2 linked regions of the Tribolium castaneum genome follow. The protein of the gene in region 1 interacts with the protein of each later gene in a pairwise test. Links are inferred from orthologs where the notes say so. Each region holds a gene or a part of one and is shown on either strand. Other genes may lie near its edges.

Region 1 (5,437 bases):
CAATTTTTTGGATGTTGGCGTTTGATTTTGTCAAGTTAATCAAAAGAAGCAAAGCGTCGTTCCGGATCACTTCGCGACTTTCGACCAACAAATCCATAAGTTTTGAAACCCCCATGGGGCTCACGAGGATCACATCTTGGATTTCTTTAGGTTTACTTGCCAGAAGTGAAGTGAGCAGCTTGACAGCTGGCCATCTAACCCTAAAATCGCGGGAACCTCTACTTTAGCCACACTCGAAACACTTGAAAGATAATTAAAAGCTCAATTCGGAAATAAAATTAACTAGACGCCCTCTGGTGATGACTTTTGAACTATGTCGAAAACAGTAAAGAAATTTTCGTAATGCCACATTTAACTGACATTTAATGAATTGTTCAATAATTTTGCGTATATAGTGTTAATTACTTACAATAGAAAGAATTACTTTAAAAGTACGTGGTGGTAAATACTAGCGTTGACTTTGGTTCTGTAGTTTTTCGTGGTATAAAGTGTTTATTGTTGGAACTTGAAAGTGGATAAAAAGTGAAAAATATTTAAATTTTGATTACAAAGTGTTATCAAACAGTTGTCTAATTAAAGATTATAAGTAATGGATCACAGCGAACACAAAGTTTGGCTCAAGAAACCAATAAATTAGTGAAGTGTTATGAATTTTAGGTTAGAATTTTCCACTGAAAAAATCATGAAATGCTGCGGTAAATCTACAAAACTACAATAAAGATTAACAACTGCTGATACATTTAAACGTAAATTATGCCAAAAGGTAGGCTTTTCAATGTCTTTGTAATAATTTTCCAATAAAGAAAGTGAACCAAACAGTCATTCGTTATTCGTGTTTTCCTCGTCATCTCTCATTTGTCAACATAAGTTTCTTGCATCAAAGATGAAATAATCATTCCGCATAGGCAATGTAATAATTGTGAAGCCCCAAAATTCGTACAACGCTCAAAATATCCGAATAAACATTTTCCCGCCATTTATGGTTACTGTTTTCGACCTAGCTCAGTGGCGCCCCCAACGGTAATTTTACTTCCGAATACCTCCTTCCTTGTGGTAAAGGTTAGTTTACCGATAATAAGCGACTTCATCCGATCAAACACAAACATTATTAAATGGGTGAAAATATCTTAATTTAGACCGTTTTCGCGTGCTTTAACACGTATTTCTCTGGTGAAAGCTGTAAATTCAGTAAATTCAGTGTAGTTTTTACTTTTTAATAAATCGAAACCAAAAAATTAAGAAATATTCTAAAATAGATCGAAATCGATCTTATTTCATCTGCTTCAGTCGACTTATTGATAGTTTCTGAGAGAAATTTCGCCAAAATAAGCCGACGAATCACAAAACCTGATGGCAGTTGGAGTTGTCTTTACTTATTTTGAGCCCCTAAGTACATTAAATTTTCAATAATTTTGTAAAATTTCAGTTAAAACCGACCGTAAATTTATCTAATTACAAAAAAAGTACTCTACTATATTGCATTTATAAGCATTTTAGTTTGTTTTACAGTTAGGAATGCTAGCACTTTCGTTAAAAATAAGCTTGAAAATCATTAAATTAAACAAAAAATAATGTTATTTTTGTCTTAAGCAAGTTTCAATCAATAAAATCGATCAAGAAAATTATAAAAATAATTCGAAATTGATGGTAATTTGGTCAAAAATAATGTTATTTTTATCTTTTTTTACCCCCTAAGTACGATTTCGAACTAGAATTTCAAAATTTTTGAACGATTTCGCTCAAACAGGTCTAAAAATTACCAAGTTATGCAATTAATTGTACTATTCTTGCTCTTCTCGAGCGGTTTTACTAGTTTTCCAGTCAGAAACGAAATGAATTTACAAAATTTCAATAAAACAAACTGAAAAATTTTTAAAGTAAAAACTTATTTTTTTCCAAAAACTAGGCTAAAATTGAAAACTAAAACTCATAAAAATACATGATTATGTAGTTCGTTTTAGAACACAATTTCGACAAAAATAAACAATTTGCGTAAAAGTAGTGTCATTTTTATAATTTTCCAACCTCTAAGCACGTTTTCAAAGTAAAATCTAAAGGTTTTTTGCGAGATATCGCTAAAATATGCCAAAAAACACTACAAATAAAATATACAATCAAATTTTTGTTGTTAATTAGCGCTTTAGCTTGTGATTTAGTCAGAAACAAAATTATTTTCTGTATTTTTAGTATGTTTATCAGCTAAAAACTTATTTTTTTGCAAAAAACACAGTATGTCTGTTTAAAAAATCGAAATTAATTTTGACTTAGCTTTGTTTTGCTAAAAACTAGAAGAACAAATCAAAATTGATATTTGACTCGATTTACCTTGTTATTTACAAAGCCAGTAGATATACTGTATATCTACTGGCTTTGGTTATTTATTGAAATTTTGTCAAAAATAAACGAAACATCAATTTGGTTAAAAATAATAATGTTATTTTTGACTTTTTCTCATCTCTAAACTTGTTTTTGAATAAAAAATCTTAGGGTTTTTGTCAGATATTGTTAAACTAGTTCGAAAAATACTTAATTAAATGATAACTCATTTTTGCTTTTTGGACCGTTTTAGCTTATTTTTTGGTTAGAAATAAAAATAGTATTTCACGAGATTTCACTAAAAATAGTACGTCTAAGTTCATTTTTTATTTAAAAACTTTAGTTTTTTGTCAAAACTGCTTAAAACAAATTACCGTTATTTTGACCTGTATCACTCTATTTAAACCGTTTGAAAATACATATATTAGTCAAAATTGCAAATTTGCCCAAAAATAGTGTTATTCTTAACAATTTTTAGGTGTTTGAGTACGTTGTTGAACTAAAATGTTGGTTTTTGTGAGAGAAAAACTACTCACTTAACTCAAACATCACATTATTTCTGATTTCTATCGAACTTTTTTCAAATATAAACACACTTAATTTTAATTTTCAAAATTTCGTAAAATCACAGAGTAAGAATCTCCACAAGGAAAGAGGTGCAAAGGTGTGATCAGTCATTAGTTAAAGCAATTATTACCTAAAGTCGTACTCCTCCAAAAAACTCAAAACCAGGGTCACATTTTCGGCATTTTTGATAAACATTTCAGTGAACTGCTCCCCCACATTGACCTTAATGTTTAAATTACTCTCACTCTCCTCCTCAAAAACCTCCTTCGAGGTGATATTACACAACGTATCGAGACAATAGCCGATGATTTCGCAGTCAGAGCGGTCCAACTCCAGGACCTGTCTCAACACATCCATGCCTTGGGCCCCCACTTCGAGGCGATATTTCCGAGACAGGGCCTTAAGGGCCCGACATGCGTCGCGACGGTCCTCCAGTAACGTCGAAGTACTGACCCGACTCACAAGCCGCTCCACCTAAAAGTGGGGTTAGGGGCGGTCAGGACAGCTGTTTGGGGTTTCGGGGGCACTTACGGTCTCGGCACCCGTGGGCTGGGTGCCGGGGGCCGGGGCCCCCAGCACCGACTTCAAACCGCTCCGGAAGTACTCCATTTCACGAAATTAACACAAATTGTTTGAAATTTTTGACATTTTGACGTGACATGTATACAAAGAAACGTCAATAGCGCAGTTTTTGAAACGCACAAAAGGGGGCACTTTTTGTGTGTTAATTTCAAAGACATAATTTCAAAGATATTAGAGGTATTTGGTTAATTTTCTATGTTTGGACGTAGCTCAGTGGCGTTTTATAATTTTACTTCTGAACTGAAAAAGTTTGGGCAGGTTTATGATACAGCGACCTGTTATTGTCCGCTTGGGTTAGTGGGTGGAAGATGGCGCCCTCAGTCAAAGTGTCACATAAATGTCGCGTTTTTTGGCGGGAATATGAATAAGGGGTTTCAAGAGGGTGAACACGAGTTTCTTTTTCCAAATCGGGACAAATATTCGGGTCACTTTTGCGCTCATGTTAGTGGTTTAGCATGGAGGCAAGGCCATGGTGTTTACGAAACGCACGATTTGCAATTTTACGAAGGAAACTGGAAGGACGATAAATTAAATGAAAACGAAAATGTGCGCATTATGTTCAAAAATAACGACACTTTTGAGGGAAAAATCAAAAAGTACAAGTACAACGGTCCAGGGACATACACTTTTCGTAGGGGAGGCCGGTTGTGTTGCGAATTTTTGAATAATAAGCCTTCGGGGAATGTGATTTTTATTGATTACAAGGGACACCTTTGGCATGGTAATTTTTCAGTTTTGTGATTACGAATGAAATAAATTTAAGTGTAATTAAGGTAAGGCCGGCCCTGAGCACACGCTGCTGTACCGTGAGCACATTTTTTCGCAAGAACTGGACCGAGAAAGGGGCAAAGGGCGCCCTATAATCAAAGAAACAACAATTCCGAGTGAAGAAGAAAAAGAAGGCGAAACGAGTGAAGTGGAAACACCAGACTTGAAAGAATTAGAGAGACAAGTCTTCGCCAAAAGCACCAAAACCAAGTCCGTTATTGATTTCGAAGACTCTGACTGGTTCAGAGACTACCAGAAGAACAAAGAAATGAAGCAAACCGTCTTTGAGAAAATTTCAACTCTGGGAGTTTCGAGCCTCACCGATGACGAAAAAGCGTGGTACAAAAAATATTACACGAGTGCAAAAATTCGCGAAGATTGGAAGAAGCCGAAGAAAATCAACCACGATTTGTTGCGCCAACACTTCGATGAAGAATCGAAAAATACGTGCGCGCCAAGTTGCATTTTTTATGCTTCAAATTTTGGTGAAGGCTAAAATTAATTAAAATTTATTTGTGATTGGTATCGGGACACCTGGGGTCGTGGGCGACTCGAATTTGAAAAATAAAGATTTTGTGATAAATTTGAATATAATTAGGTTCTTGTGTTTGACTCCCAGTCGGGCTAAGTCTGAAATATTGGCCCCAAACCAATTATAATTATTTATTTAAATCGTCGGGAATTAATCATTTTGTAATTTATTTATTTTATACAACAAAGTAGCTGTTTATTTAGGTTTAATTTATTGCACCAGTAGTTTTTATTTAAATACAATTTTCCATCTGTTTGCCTTAAAAAATCAACAGTTTCAAGCTGGGCTATTATTAGAAAATAATGTACGTAACAGATGGCCGAAATTAGCAACAATTCACCTGCCAATAATAATAAGTTGCGGTAGAATATTTAAATTGGGCGATTTTTACTAATTGGCCACAAATTTAACAAAGTGATGAAATCGTGCAAAAAATGGGCCATTCGAGCTGTAGTGCAACTGATTAAGAAAAAAACTTAGCTCAGTTTTAGTCCGTTACTATTTTTTTACTAATTGATTTAGTTAATTTATTAATTAATCTTGTTGCTTACCCGTAATTAATTTTTGTTTAGTCACCGTATAACGTACCCTCGAAAAATCAAGAAATAAATCTTGTTTTTTAAACTCTCTTATTAAAAGTGCAAAAAACGACATTTGGTTCTGTTTAATTGT
Region 2 (5,428 bases), on another chromosome or scaffold:
CAAATAATCCGGAAAAAACAAATTGGTCCAAATTTTTACTTACTCACCTACTAATAAAAAAAATGTCGAGGCTACAATAAGCGCAAATTTAAGTCAAAAGTATGCCTATCTGACGTAAAATCGTCCAAGGATTACGAATCTGTATTTATTTTTGTTGTACGATTCGTAGTTTTGGAGATATTAGACAAAATTTGGTCAATTTTTATTTTTGCAATGTGTAATAAGTAAGAAAATGACGAAAAACGACTTGTAGCGCTTTTTATTCCTTGAATATCTAGCGCTGATCAAACTTTTGTCCAAATTAAGACAAAATTGTGTAAAAAAACAACTTGGCCAAAAAATTTACTTACCTACCTACCAAAAAAAAAAAAATTCTCAAAGTCACAATAAACGAAAATTTAAATAAAAAGTACGCCCATATAACGTAAAATTGCAGATTAAATTAATGGCACTTCTATAAATTAATATACTTAATATACTTTTGAAAACTAATTGAAATCAAAAATTAACTATGAGTTAAAAATAAAGAAAAAATAGCTGAATTAAATGAAAGACTAAAAAAATGACTATTTTTTAAGAATCTAGTTGTAGATTTTGCAATTTTTTGATGAAATTTTGACCAAATTGTAGTTTTTGCGATTTTCTGAAAGATTAAAAATAAAAAATATTTGCAAGCTAGTTGCGTGGAAAGCGGCAGCAAATCAACCTGTCAGCAGCGAAATAACAGTCTTGCCAACTGTAGAATTACGACTTGAGGCACATTTCAATTGAAACACGACACCGGCTTTTATAATGAATATTTAATTTCCTGTCCGAGTCTTGCATTTCCTGAAATAATATTCACTAGCCGGAAGCAATGACAAGGTGTATTAAACACCGATCATTTCGACCTGTGACGGAAACGGAAACGGCAAGAAGAAAAAATTCTTCAAGTTCATCGAACTAAAATTTTTTTCGAGATGTTCCTCCTCAGCAGCAGCTGACTCGAATGAATAGCACAATAGTGAAGTAAAGTTACGACAGCTGCTCTTCTACTATCGAAGACTTTGCGCAAATAATCCCAATTTCTGAGTGAAAAATATAAATAGCAATTTTCGCTTTCCAAGAATTTGAAAATTTGCCTCGGCCTCGTTTCAACGACCCACAAGACAAACCCGAGTACCGTTCTATTATTACATTATCGTTACGTCGTATCACCAAGTGATAACAATGTCGCCAATGGTGTTTTACAGTCTGATTTTGTTTGATATTATAATAAAATAAGAGAACGTTACTGTAATTTTTCAGTAGTTAAAAATCCATTAAAACTAATGTTTTTCAATTGAGAAAAAAATCAATTATGTAACCCCTGTGGCCATAATTACTTCCTGAATTCAAATTAAAGCGAAACCGTGTTAGGGCCCTTTGTTTATGGCGTTGCTAAGACAACCGCCCAAAATCTGTGGGCTTATTTAATTTATTCCCCCTCTGAATGAGATTTTGACAAGAAATTCGTTATCTGTCAATATGGAATGTGGAAACTTACACTGAAAAACTAGCCGTAAGTTCAAAAAATTCGAACTGTAAAAAAAAGGGCATTAAAAACTCAATTTTTGGTGCAAAAAATCGTTAAATTTTGTTAAATTAATTTTCAAAATTAAAGCAAAAAATTTAGTTTCAAAAACCAAAGTCAAAATTTGGAAAAAAGGCATTTGAAGCAAAATTTACCGTTTTCTGAACTAAATATGTTTCAGCTCCAAAATGATAAAAACAGCAAATTTTGACAATACTTTCCAAAAAAAAAACATATATTGGCTATTTTTTTAAATATTTTGAATTAGTTTATTTCCAAAACCAAATACAAAATTTCCAAAACAATATTTTTTTTTCAAAAAATCGTTTGCTTTGACTCCAATCTAAGCCAAAATTTACAAAAATCAAAATTTTATCGTTTTCTTTACTAAAAAAGCTTTAATTTTTTAAAAATAGCAACTTCCTTTCCAATGAACGAGTTGATTAGTTTGAAAATTCGTTATTAATTTAAATTTTACCGATTTGTATATTTTTCTCTTTAAGAAAAAAAACTTTGTACATAAGAATTTTCAGAAAAAGCGCAATTTTTCACTGCCTTGTTGTTGATTTCCTTCAAAATTCTCCACAATTATTTCAAAAAATCACTCAAAATTACTTTTGAAAAAAGTTCGGAAATTCTTCTCAGCGTATTTCTCGCAAAAAAATGTATAGATTCAGAAAAATTTTTAGTTCGGTTTTTAGTGTCTTTTCATCTTTTTTTCAAAATAATGAAACTCACTCCCTCTCTAAATTTGAGCCAAAATTTTTAAAAGTAATCTAATAAAGCTCAGCGTTTTCCGGAGTAATTTTTTTAATTGATCATTAACTCAAAAGTCAAAAATTTAAAATTTTGACCAAATTTTCTAACTAAAAAATGAAAATTCACGAATTATGATTATTTGGAAAATCCGGTCTCAAAAATTATATTTCCTCTGTTTATTCTTTTTTTTTAAACCCGTCACTAGTTGTTCAAAAAATGACTTCAAAATTACTGTTTTCAGAAAAATTTTGGTCAAAATTTTGAAAAATCATTCAAAGGAAGTTTTTAACGGTAATATTTTTTACTTCATTTCCTTTAAAAAATTTCAGTTACTAGTTAATTAGCCTCAAAATACACTTTTTTGAAAAATTGTTTTATTTTTTATTTTTGGTGTCCAAACAAAATTTAGTTTGAAAATATTTTTGTTAAACAAGAAAAAATTTGGCAATTTCCTTCACAATTTTTCCACTTGGTGCCAACTTCTCGCAATTTATTCTCACTCACATATCCACAAAACCACAAAATTTGGCACAAACACACACGTGACACCAATTTCTGCGTCGTTACAACCAACAGGTAGATAATAACCATCCTGGCGCTAACTTTCACCGATTTCCCTCGCAAAAAAACACACACCGGAGTGGCATCTCTATCCACACACTCACCGGACTTTCTTTTCTCCGGTAAGACCAACGACTTCGTTCTTTTCACCCTCAAAGAACGCCTCCGGATCGACCGGAGAAAACTTTCAGGCATTCGTTGAAATTTCGGCGTGTCTTGAGTTTTCCGTTCGGGCATTAGCCAATTTTTGACTGTTGTCATTGAAATTCCACGCGATTTTTTCGGTGTTATTGGCACCGTTTCACCTTTTAAATCCACCATCACGTGCACTTTTTATTCACCGGAGCGGCATTTTCGGGATAATACCGGAATCACTCGCGAGTTGAACGAGAGTAAAGTGTGTGGAGAGAAGTAGGGGAGCTGAGGTGCGTTTGTCCCCCTCTCTAGTAGGCGCAAAAACGCGTGCTGTGGACTGCGCATGCGCTTACAGCACGAGGCGAAGGCGAGGGAGGTGTTTAATAAACAACATAAGTATAAAAAACTTCAAATTGATTTTTATTTTCGTGCCAAAGTCGACGAAAGTTAGCACAAAATAAGTGTTTGATTAAAATTTCACTCATATTTTGCCATTTTTCAAAAATTTTTGAAATGAGACACATCCAACAAAAAGGCCAAAATAATATGACCTCGACCTTTATTTGTGATTTTTTTGGCCTCTTGTAGTGAAATTATGCCTGAAAATAAAAAAAAAGCAAAAAATTACATAGTTTCAGCTCAAAATAACGTAATTGTCGACGTAACTGAGCAATTTTTTGCAAAATTTCGCAAAAAAAAGAGTTATTGGCAAATAGGCACTCTAAAAATAGGCTCAAAATGCCACGAGTTTCGCTGTAATTTGATCATTTTTGACAAGATTTGACAAAATCAGGGAGTTTTTCACCCAAAAACATAAAATCTAACAAAAAAGACCAAAATAATGTCATTTTCAATTTTGCTCTGTGATTTTTTGGCGCGTTTTATAACAAAAAATTCGCGAAAAAATTGAGGTTCTCAATCAATTTCGCTGTGATTTAGTCATTTTTGAGAAAATTTCCCAAAATATGTGAGTTTCTTACTGAAAAACTCGAAAATAATGCTATTTTTTGGTTAAAAATTGTGCCTAATTCTCGAAAAATGTAAAAATAATGCCATTTACAAACTTGAATGATTAGTCTTAGGTCAATTTGAACAATATTTTGTATGAAAATCGAGCTTTCTAACTAAAAAATGTTCTTGAAAATTTTAAAAAGGCAAAATTAATGATTTTAAACTATTCATTAAAAATTGTTTGCCTAATTATTTGTGATTTTTTGGCCTCTTGTAGTGAAATCATGCCTGAAAGTCCAAAAAAAGCAAAAAATTATTTAGTTTTGGCTCAAAATAACGTAATTGTCGACGTAACTGAGCAATTTTTTGCAAAATTTCGCAAAAAAATGAGTTTACCGCAAAAAGGCACACCATAAATAAGCCCAAAATGTCATAAATTTCGCTGTAATTTGATCATTTTTGGCAAGATTTGACAAAATCAGGGAGTTTTTCACTCAAAAACATAAAATCTAACGAAAAAGACCAAAATAATGTCATTTTCAATTTTTCTCTGTGATTTTTTGACGCGTTTTATAACAAGGAATTCAAAAAAATTGAGTTTCTCAATCAATTTTGCTGTAATTTAGTCATTTTTTGAGAAAATTTCCCAAAATATGGCAGTTTCTCACTCCAAAACAATATTAATCTAACGAAAAACTCGAAAATAATGCTATTTTTTTGTTAAAAATTGCGCTTAATTCTCGAAAAATGTAAAAATAATGCCATTTACGAACTTGAATGATTAATTTTAGATCAATTTGAGCAATATTTTGTATGAAAATCGAGCTTTCTAAGTAAAAAATTTTCTTGAAAATTTGAAAAAGGCAAAGTTAATGATTTTAAACTATTCATTAAAAATTGTTTGCCTAATTATTTGTGATTTTTTGGCCTCTTGTAGTGAAATCATGCCTGAAAGTCCACAAAAAGCAAAAAATTATATAGTTTTGGCTCAAAATAACGTAATTGTCGACGTAACTGAGCAATTTTTTTGCAAAATTTCGCAAAAAATGAGTTTACCGCAAAAAGGCACACCATAAATAAGCCCAAAATTTCGAAAAAAAGTATCAAAATATCATCAATTTTTGAACACTTTTTTTTTAAAATAAGTGAGTTTTTCACACAAAAACAAAAGTAATCTATCGAAAAAAAAAACAAATCATGTCTTAAGTGATTTTTTGCCAACTTTGGCGAATTTTTAAACTTTTTGACTGAAAATTGTCTTTGAAAATTCTCGAAAAAAGGTAAAAATAATAAATTATTATATAATAAAATTATAAAAAATAACTTTTTTGTTTATTTATAAAATATTTTTCGGGAGAAATTTAGGAATTGAAAAAAACAATAATAATGAACAACAATAATTTTTGAGCTGTTTGACTAAAATTTCATAAAAAATTCTAAAGTCCGCTTGTTTGTTTTTACAAATAAAGT

The links.
Region 2: the proteins of p115 (region 1) and CenG1A interact in a two-hybrid assay, tested with the Caenorhabditis elegans proteins (2 studies listed by BioGRID). The link is inferred for Tribolium castaneum from reciprocal best matches to the Caenorhabditis elegans genes uso-1 and cnt-2.

What each region holds. Positions count from the first base shown.
Region 1 is NC_087399.1:6,664,787-6,670,223, forward strand, and holds the start of p115 (general vesicular transport factor p115), read right to left. Parts: upstream 3,576-5,437; 5' UTR 3,493-3,575; coding exon 3,415-3,492; intron 3,358-3,414; coding exon 3,014-3,357; intron 201-3,013; coding exon 1-200. Other genes in the region: radial spoke head 1 homolog, read left to right, coding at 3,826-4,186, 4,239-4,729.
Region 2 is NC_087400.1:2,514,550-2,519,977, forward strand, and holds the start of CenG1A (centaurin-gamma-1A), read right to left. Parts: upstream 3,268-5,428; 5' UTR 3,194-3,267; coding exon 2,977-3,193; intron 1-2,976.